2 linked regions of the Drosophila melanogaster genome follow. The protein of the gene in region 1 interacts with the protein of each later gene in a pairwise test. Each region holds a gene or a part of one and is shown on either strand. Other genes may lie near its edges.

What was found.
Region 2: the proteins of CG2681 (region 1) and muskelin interact in a two-hybrid assay, tested with the Drosophila melanogaster proteins (one large-scale study listed by BioGRID).

Annotation. Positions count from the first base shown.
Region 1 is NC_004354.4:2,706,530-2,710,455, reverse strand, and holds the start of CG2681 (uncharacterized protein), read right to left. Parts: upstream 1,773-3,926; 5' UTR 1,493-1,772; coding exon 770-1,492; intron 137-769; coding exon 1-136. Other genes in the region: CG2680 (uncharacterized protein), read left to right, coding at 3,114-3,503, 3,600-3,926.
Region 2 is NT_033778.4:12,630,367-12,634,292, forward strand, and holds the start of muskelin (muskelin), read right to left. Parts: upstream 1,916-3,926; 5' UTR 1,791-1,915; coding exon 1,597-1,790; intron 1,515-1,596; coding exon 1,302-1,514; intron 1,240-1,301; coding exon 897-1,239; intron 815-896; coding exon 676-814; intron 620-675; coding exon 18-619; intron 1-17. Other genes in the region: CG33792 (uncharacterized protein), read left to right, coding at 2,308-2,376, 2,430-2,588, 2,639-3,088; spt4, read left to right, coding at 3,311-3,379, 3,441-3,603, 3,670-3,788; Mvk (mevalonate kinase), read right to left, coding at 3,888-3,926.

The sequences.
Region 1 (3,926 bases):
TGCACTGCTGTTCGTGCCACGGCAGCAGGACGACCGGCATCCGCACCTGGCAGCCGCCGGAGGCGTGTCCGCACCGGAAGTGCGCCTTGGCGCACAGCGCCTCCACGGTCAGCGATCGGGAGTTGGTGAAGGGTTCCTGAAACATAAAGTTATTTGCATTGACATCGGGATTGGCATACAATTTAGTGTGCAAGTTCGAATGTGATGTGTGTTACCCATATCATATGCCCCATTTCCTAGTATTGATGGAAAGAACTTGATGATGAAGAAACTATACACTTTATCATACTTATCATAGTGATAGTATGACACGGGCTTTTCGATGTACTTATTTTGTCCATTGGTTAGCGAGCATACAAGTTTATCTATGGAAAAGTCCGAGCAAACGTTAATATCGACTTCCTTCTTGCAGATTTCAGATTCGGTTGGATATTTAGAAGATGGCACTAATAAATATGCCCTAGAAGAGTGAACTGGTGGCACCACACATTTCCTAGTGCAAGACAAGGCTTATTTTTTATAGTCACACTTGTAGTGCAGATAGTGGGGCTGCACTTGAAAATTGATTAGACACCCTCGGCTGGGTAATAAACTAATCTCCACCGGAGATCATTCTGTCCTGCGCCTGTCGATGATGGCAATCTGCGAGTAGCTTTTCCTTAGTCTATACCAATGTATATTTGCACGTCACTAGATAAGGAGCGCACATTGGGGCAATATGATATTGATAACCGAACAACACTTTTGGCGAGCTGACGTCAATTTTTACCTTGCAGAGCGGGCACATGAGCAAAATGCGGGTGCACTGTTCACAGACACTGTGGCCACTCTTGCACAGAAGGATGGGCGCCTTCATGGCGCCGGCACAGCCGGGACACCTCAGCTCCTCGATCAGTCCCTCGTAGTGGCGGGCGGAGACGGTCGGCGGGCCTTCCTCGCTGGGCGTGGCAGGGCTCTTTTCCGGCTTGCTGGGCGTGATGACGCCTTCGGGAAAGCTCTGACGGATTATGGAGCTGTCCGGCGAGAGAGCTCCATTGCTCGCTGGACCCTTGCCATCGGCGGGACCTGTACTGCGGGTGCGGCCCAGCATTGGCGGCTTAGGGGGCGGCGAAAGTGGGGATCGCAGGGTCACCACATTCGGACTTGGCAGCGTGGCGTATTTCACGTTCAGGGTGAGCGTGTTGGGGGGCACTGGTTTGGCTGGCTCCACCTTTTCGGGTTCCTTCTGCTGCTCCTGGGCTGGGACCTCATCAGGCGTTTTCTTCGCCACCTCCTCCGGGGGCATCTTCGTAGACTGCGGCTCGTCTATGGCCTTCAGATTCTTCTCCAGGTCCTCCTCCCGAACCGTCGATCCGTTTGTGGCCTCCGGCACCTCCTCATTGATCGTGCTGTTGAGAAATATGCGGCGCTGCTCGTTGATCTGTTCGATGCTCTTCAGCTGAGCCAGAATTTTTAGATCCTCCTCCTTTCCACCATTGGCCAGGGTAGACATTTTCGGCAATTTTCCTTAGTTTTTGACTAGTTGTCGTCTGGTTGTATAACCGCCGGGAACAGTTGCTCCAAGCTCAGGTGGCCGAATGTGCTTTTCTTCTGGCGGAATTCTTCGCAAGCGTTCGCAACTCGTACTTTCGTATCTTATCAGGGAGACGCCTAACTAAACTAGCTGGCCCGGCAATCGATTTGGACTTGTGATGCGATATACCAAAAAGCCGCAGCCAAAACCAACCAAACCAAACCAAACCAAACCAAAAACGCAGCCGAACCCCAAGCGACGCGACTCACACGCGCTCGCACATCAAGTACCCGCCCCGTTGGCCAGTTCTTTTGCCTTCACCGCCGCGGACGCGGACATGGACACGAGCGTCTTCCGGACCCCGCCAATTGAAATGTTGCATTTGAATTTGAATTATTGGCCATTTGTGGTTTCCTCCGTTCCGGCGGCTTTTCCATTTCCCCCTCTCCGCTTCCGTTGGCCAAATGCCGCAGCCATCAATGTCAAGGTGTTGACATGTGTGGCCAGGGTCTACGGCCCAGCACAGTGGGACCTCCGTAGGGCGACAGGCATTCTGTTGTCTACGCTGCTGAACTTTCGCAATTGTCATCATACTTATTAGTTTCTCCATGCGTCAACTGTACCTTTGCTTTTCGAACTGAGGAAAGCGTGCTCATACATGTTTCCTCGAGTGTTCACTGTACACGTTTGTGCCTGCCTGTTATAAGCTTGAGCGAACAACAGCAGCAACAAAAGGCCGATGCACCACCGATCAATACTTACATACATACATATGTATGTATGTCAATCGCCTTCAATCACGTGTATCGCAGAGGATTTGTAAGAAATGCAATTGAAAGGAAGAAAAGGAAGCATGTGAATCGCAAAATACATATAATATTTATAGCATGCCAAAAGCCTTTGAAATTTAATTAAATTTTTCTTTACAGCCATTTTGGGTTTGTGGTTTCGCTTTGATTGCATAGAATTGAATTCAATAATAAGGCTGTCAATTATTTCGAGACCAATATATTTCAGTCACATTTGGCAGTGGAACTAGTTCGATAATCTATATGGTTCTAAATTATATCCGGTAAATTCAAATGACAGTCAAAAGCATGAATAACCAAAATTTGACGAATGCAGCAGACTCATTTTATAAGTTGTTCCTTAAGATAAACTTGGTATAATCACGCGTACGCTTGATTGTAAATCCGAACTAGGAAGCAAATGAGATACATATGTATGTATGTATTTTCCGGACTGCTATCCGCTCTGTCCGGCAGATGGGAATGTGAAATAGACAACAAATCGCACGAGTCTTTCATGCCGCGTTCCACACAGAAGATCTTATATTTACATACGGAATCTTATCGGACGAGCCACTCCGCTCGGGTTCGCTAAATCGTGTAATAAAAGATACTTAGCACATATGTACGTAGGCATAGGGTTGTATGGGCGAGGGGTGGTTGGGTTCGGGTTCGAGGAACCGGGGGAACAATGTCAATGCGTTGACATTGAAGGTTAAATGCCGGCAAAGGCGGTTAGTCGGCTGTGGAATTTCCGTGCGCGCGCAACCAGCATCCAATTCGTTCCTGTAAGCCAAAAAACCAACATTACCATGTCGCCACCACGACACATTTTGAAGCTCAGCCTCGAGGAGCAGCGGCAGTTCATCGATTCCTTCGATTTGGTGATCAGCGACTGCGATGGCGTCGTCTGGCTCCTGGTGGGCTGGATTCCCAACACGGGAGCCGCCGTCAATGCCTTGAAAGCGGCCGGCAAGCAGATCAAGTTCGTGTCGAACAACAGCTTCCGGTCCGAGGAGGATTACATGGAGAAGTTTCGCCACATCGGCGCCAAGAACGTCCAGGAGGACGACATCGTTCATCCGGTGAAGACCATTGTCCGGTACCTGAAGAAGCACAAGCCGGGGGAGCGGGTATACTCCCTCATGTCCCTCGAAGCGAACGAAACGTTACGTAAGCACAACATCGAGTTTGAATCGCTGGTAAGGGGAAGGTTATTACTTATAAATATATATATACAATATATTTAGTTCAAGAGCTTCCGTGTGACTATTAAATTTCATATCATTCTCCTTCAGCAAGTCAAGGAGCACCTGACGGCCGCGTCGCTGGTGGATCACCTGGCCATTGAAAAGCCCGTGGGCGCTGTGCTATTCGACATCCACTTGGACCTCTCGTACGTGGAGCTGGCGAAGGCCATTAGGCACCTTCAGGAGAATGACGACTGCCAGTTGATAGCCGGCGGCAGCGATGTCATCATGCCACTGGCGGAGAATCTCAATGTGGCCGGGTTCTTTGACTTCCTGGAGCACGTTAAACGCTACACGCAACGCGAGGCCACGTTTCTGGGCAAGCCGTCTCCCATTTTGGGCGAAATGTTTGGCGAAATGTTCGAGATTCGTGAT
Region 2 (3,926 bases), on another chromosome or scaffold:
GAGTATAATTAACCTACGTTATGGAAAACCATGCAGTGTGTGATCCTGGACTTGATGGACATCACATCTGCCAGGGAAGCGCTGGCATGGTGGCAGTCCACCAGAATCTGAGCCCAGGTGTTCGTTGCTATGTGATAGGAGAACAGCCCCGAATATTCTGGTTCTATCGCTCCCGTGGCATTGACACTGCGAGGCGTGAGTATTTTGCCTCCGAAAACGTAAATTGTACGCTTATCGGTATCCATGCACATCTGGTGATCATAGACAAGCTGAGGACCACCCACTTGGCTGGTGTCATCGCATATTTGCATCCAGTTGCCAGCCCTCGTATCGTAAAGGTAAAAGTCGCTCTTTATATAATCCGAAGTTCGTATCGAGTTATCCAGGTAACGACCAAGCATGAATACATTTTCGCTGATGGGATCAAAGACCATTTTGTGACAGGATCGCGGTGTGGGTCCATTGGAAAGCTCTGACCTTTCGCACAGTAGCGTCCACTGATCATCTTCGATATTGAATACCCAAAGGTCGCTCAAGTCCTGGTAGCCATCCCAGCCGCCGTAGAGATAAATAAGTCTCCTTTTGGCATCCACCACCAGCTGGTGACCACCGCGATTGCCTGAAATAGAGGAAGTTAACTGCTAATGATTGCTATTTGGAGGCAAAAATAGTTACCAGGCTTTATGTCGCTTTCGGTATGCTTCATATGCCAGCTGTGCTTGTAGTCCTGCTTATGTAAATACTCATCCATTAGGCCCTCGTCTATGCACTCGACTATAAAGCGTTCAGCCTTCTCAAAGTCGCCCTGCAAAACCTAAGAACCAGTTTTTTTTATGAATTTAATACCAAACTTCAAAGGTTTATAGCATGATCTATGCTGGGGATTCCTTTCTTACCAGACACTTATGCAGTTCGCTGATCAGCGGGTGCTCCAGTTGCACATTCGTTTGCTCCTGGAGCGCCCCAAAGGCACTCAAATAGCCCTGCTGGCGGAAGTGCTTCAGACACAGCTTGATGATCTCCACCTCGCGCAGCGAGTTGTAGTTCTTCATGCGAGCACTGGTGTACATGGGGTCGTCCTGGCCGTGCAGCTCCACGTACCAAATGCTGAAGTTGAACGACGGACCCCAGGAGAGCAGGGGCACGATCTTGAGGTACAGTATTGGTAGATTTTCCGAACCGTCTTCGGTCAGGCAGCGCAGGTTGAATACTTCTGGCACGTTATCGTTTTTTAGGCCACTGGGAAAAATATTTGAGTTATATTAAATAATGCATTTCAGAAAACCAGCTGAATGACCTACCCCTCCAGCAGCAAAACCATGTGCTCATCGTCCAAGCCGCCGTAAACACGGAATTTCTTGATGTTGCACACATGCGATTTCTCGAACTTGCCAAACTTGATTTTCTTCACAATGGCGGGACGGCGCAGCTTCAAGGTGAGAAATTGCGGCGGGCTGTTCGTGTAGGCGGACCACCTAGATGTTTGGTCGTTGGGACAGTCCACCAGGACGTTTCTACGAATGGAAATTAAAAAGATGCCCGTTTAACAATTACGATATGCGAGGCATCCATTTTCTTTTCCAGATTAGTACTTACTCAGGCAGATAGTTTGGCGAGTAGCTGGAGTAACGGTAGATCTCAAAGTTCAGGCGCTCGGAAAGCGAAAAAGGCTTTTGGCTGCTGGTATTCGTGCCGGAGACCGGGTTTAAAGATGGATTAAGGGCCGAGGACAGCGCCACCGATCCGTGCGAGCTGTTGTCCGTGGGACTGGATGTCGAGGAGGAGGACATGGCGAGTTCTATTCCAACGATCCTAGCGGTAAAAGATTAACGGAGCTCGGCTGTAGCTGTTATTACCGTTCTTTCTTGTCCGTACTTTTGTGCTTCCCTGTTCCACACCCAAAACAACCGCGTAACAGCTGATCGCCAGGGGCGTAGCCGTTATCTCATCAGGGGGTCGATTAACCGATTGTCTTACATTACATTGGCAAACGGTTAGCATTTAACAACAATTAGCATTGTGTAAATAACCAATAGAATTAGGCTGTAAAATCAAAACAAGCAATCGACCTTTTCATTTTACGCTTTTTTACTTCCGAGCGATAGTGCATTTTTAACAAAAATTAATTTACGTTAAGCCGATTTTTTGGCTAAAGTGTAGATAAGTGTATCGTGGCGTATCGATTATTTATTTGAAAGCTGTTTGTTCATTCAACCGTGATACCTTTTTATCAAGTGTACAAAGTTATTAAAATGTAGTTAGCGTATGCTTTAAGTTGTTCGGTTGAAGTTATGTTTATTTGTTTCAATGATGGCAAAGTGGCTTGCTGTCTCTTGTGTGTACTTGGGCGTTTTATTATGCCTTCCAAATACCATTGTGCGTAAATAAGCCCGTATAAATACAGATTTCAAAAATATTTTAGTTTTTAGTTCTATTCCAATGGATACTTTTTCAAAATCAGAAAAACTGAGTGCATAGCAAACGGAGCATATTTCAGCAATGTCTCTTGCATTCTGAAGCCTGTAAACTGGACTCGATCGGTATTGAACATGGATGGTGACATAAAGGAGGCATTAACTGATATTAAGGTGAGAAGTTTCATTAATTTAAGTATTACAATAATAATGGAAATTTTCAGATGTCAGTAGAAGTGTTCTACAAGGATTCTTCGAATTTGTACAAGCCCTTCGCCGTTAAATTTAAATTTGATGTTTGCCAATTGTTAAAGAATAAAACGCAAAGTAATTTTCTGCAAAAATACGCTATTAGCCATTTGACGGAGTGGACTAATGTAAACCACAGTTGCCCATATAGGGTAAGCTTATGTATATATAATATAGTTAAATTTTCTCAATATATTGAATATATATATATGTTTCTAAAGGGTCATTTGATTGCGCGTAACTTTCGTTTGGACGAGGTCTCTCTGCCCATACTTCCAATTCAGGATTACAAAATTGCATTTAACTTTTCAGGAGCCAATCCAGGAATTCACTTGGGACTGGTTTTGATCTATTTTGAAATTCTAGAGGATTATTACAAGCAAAAAAAGAATAAGCCACTGCCCAAGCCGTTGAACTTTGTTTAAAATTCATATAGCTGCTAAGGAAATATACACTTTTAAAACACGTTTTAATACAAAGGTTAGCTTCGTGAAAATTCTTTTGACAATTTTTGTCGGGTGTAACCGGCGCCCATCGATATCGTAGATTCAAGAAAATTTTAGAGTACGGTCACTCTGTCAGTGTCGTGGCTTGGTTTTGCACGGATTTTGTATTTTTAGTTTTAAACCCATAATTGATAAGTAAATATGGCCTTTGACGCGATACCCAAGGATCTGCGAGGACTTCGCGCCTGCCTCGTTTGCTCCCTAGTGAAGGTGGGTTATATTTTGCCCAGACTCGACACACATTTTCATTGAAATCATTTATCGCCCGCAGAGTTTTGATCAATTTGAGACTGATGGCTGTGAAAACTGCGAGGAGTTCCTGCGAATGAAAAACAACAAGGACAATGTCTATGATCACACTAGCAACAACTTTGACGGAATTATTGCCCTAACTACGCCCACCGACTCCTGGGTGGCCAAGTGGCAAAGATTGTGTAAGGCCTGAATGACTTCCGTTCCAAAAGGGTATTACTGATATATTTGAAATCATTTTCCTTTAGCCCGCTTTACTCGTGGTATCTATGCCATTTCTGTATCCGGAACACTGCCGCAGTCTACCTTACGTGACATGAAGAATCGTGGAATTGTCTACAAATCTCGGGACAGAAGTCAACGATAAACAAACAGATTGCCGTACAAAATACATGTATAAATCTTTATTCTTTAATTTATAACAAAACCACGAATACATACAATAGCAATACAAAACGAAACCGCATCAGTCATCCAGCGAACTAACGCGCAATCCCTCGCCGCC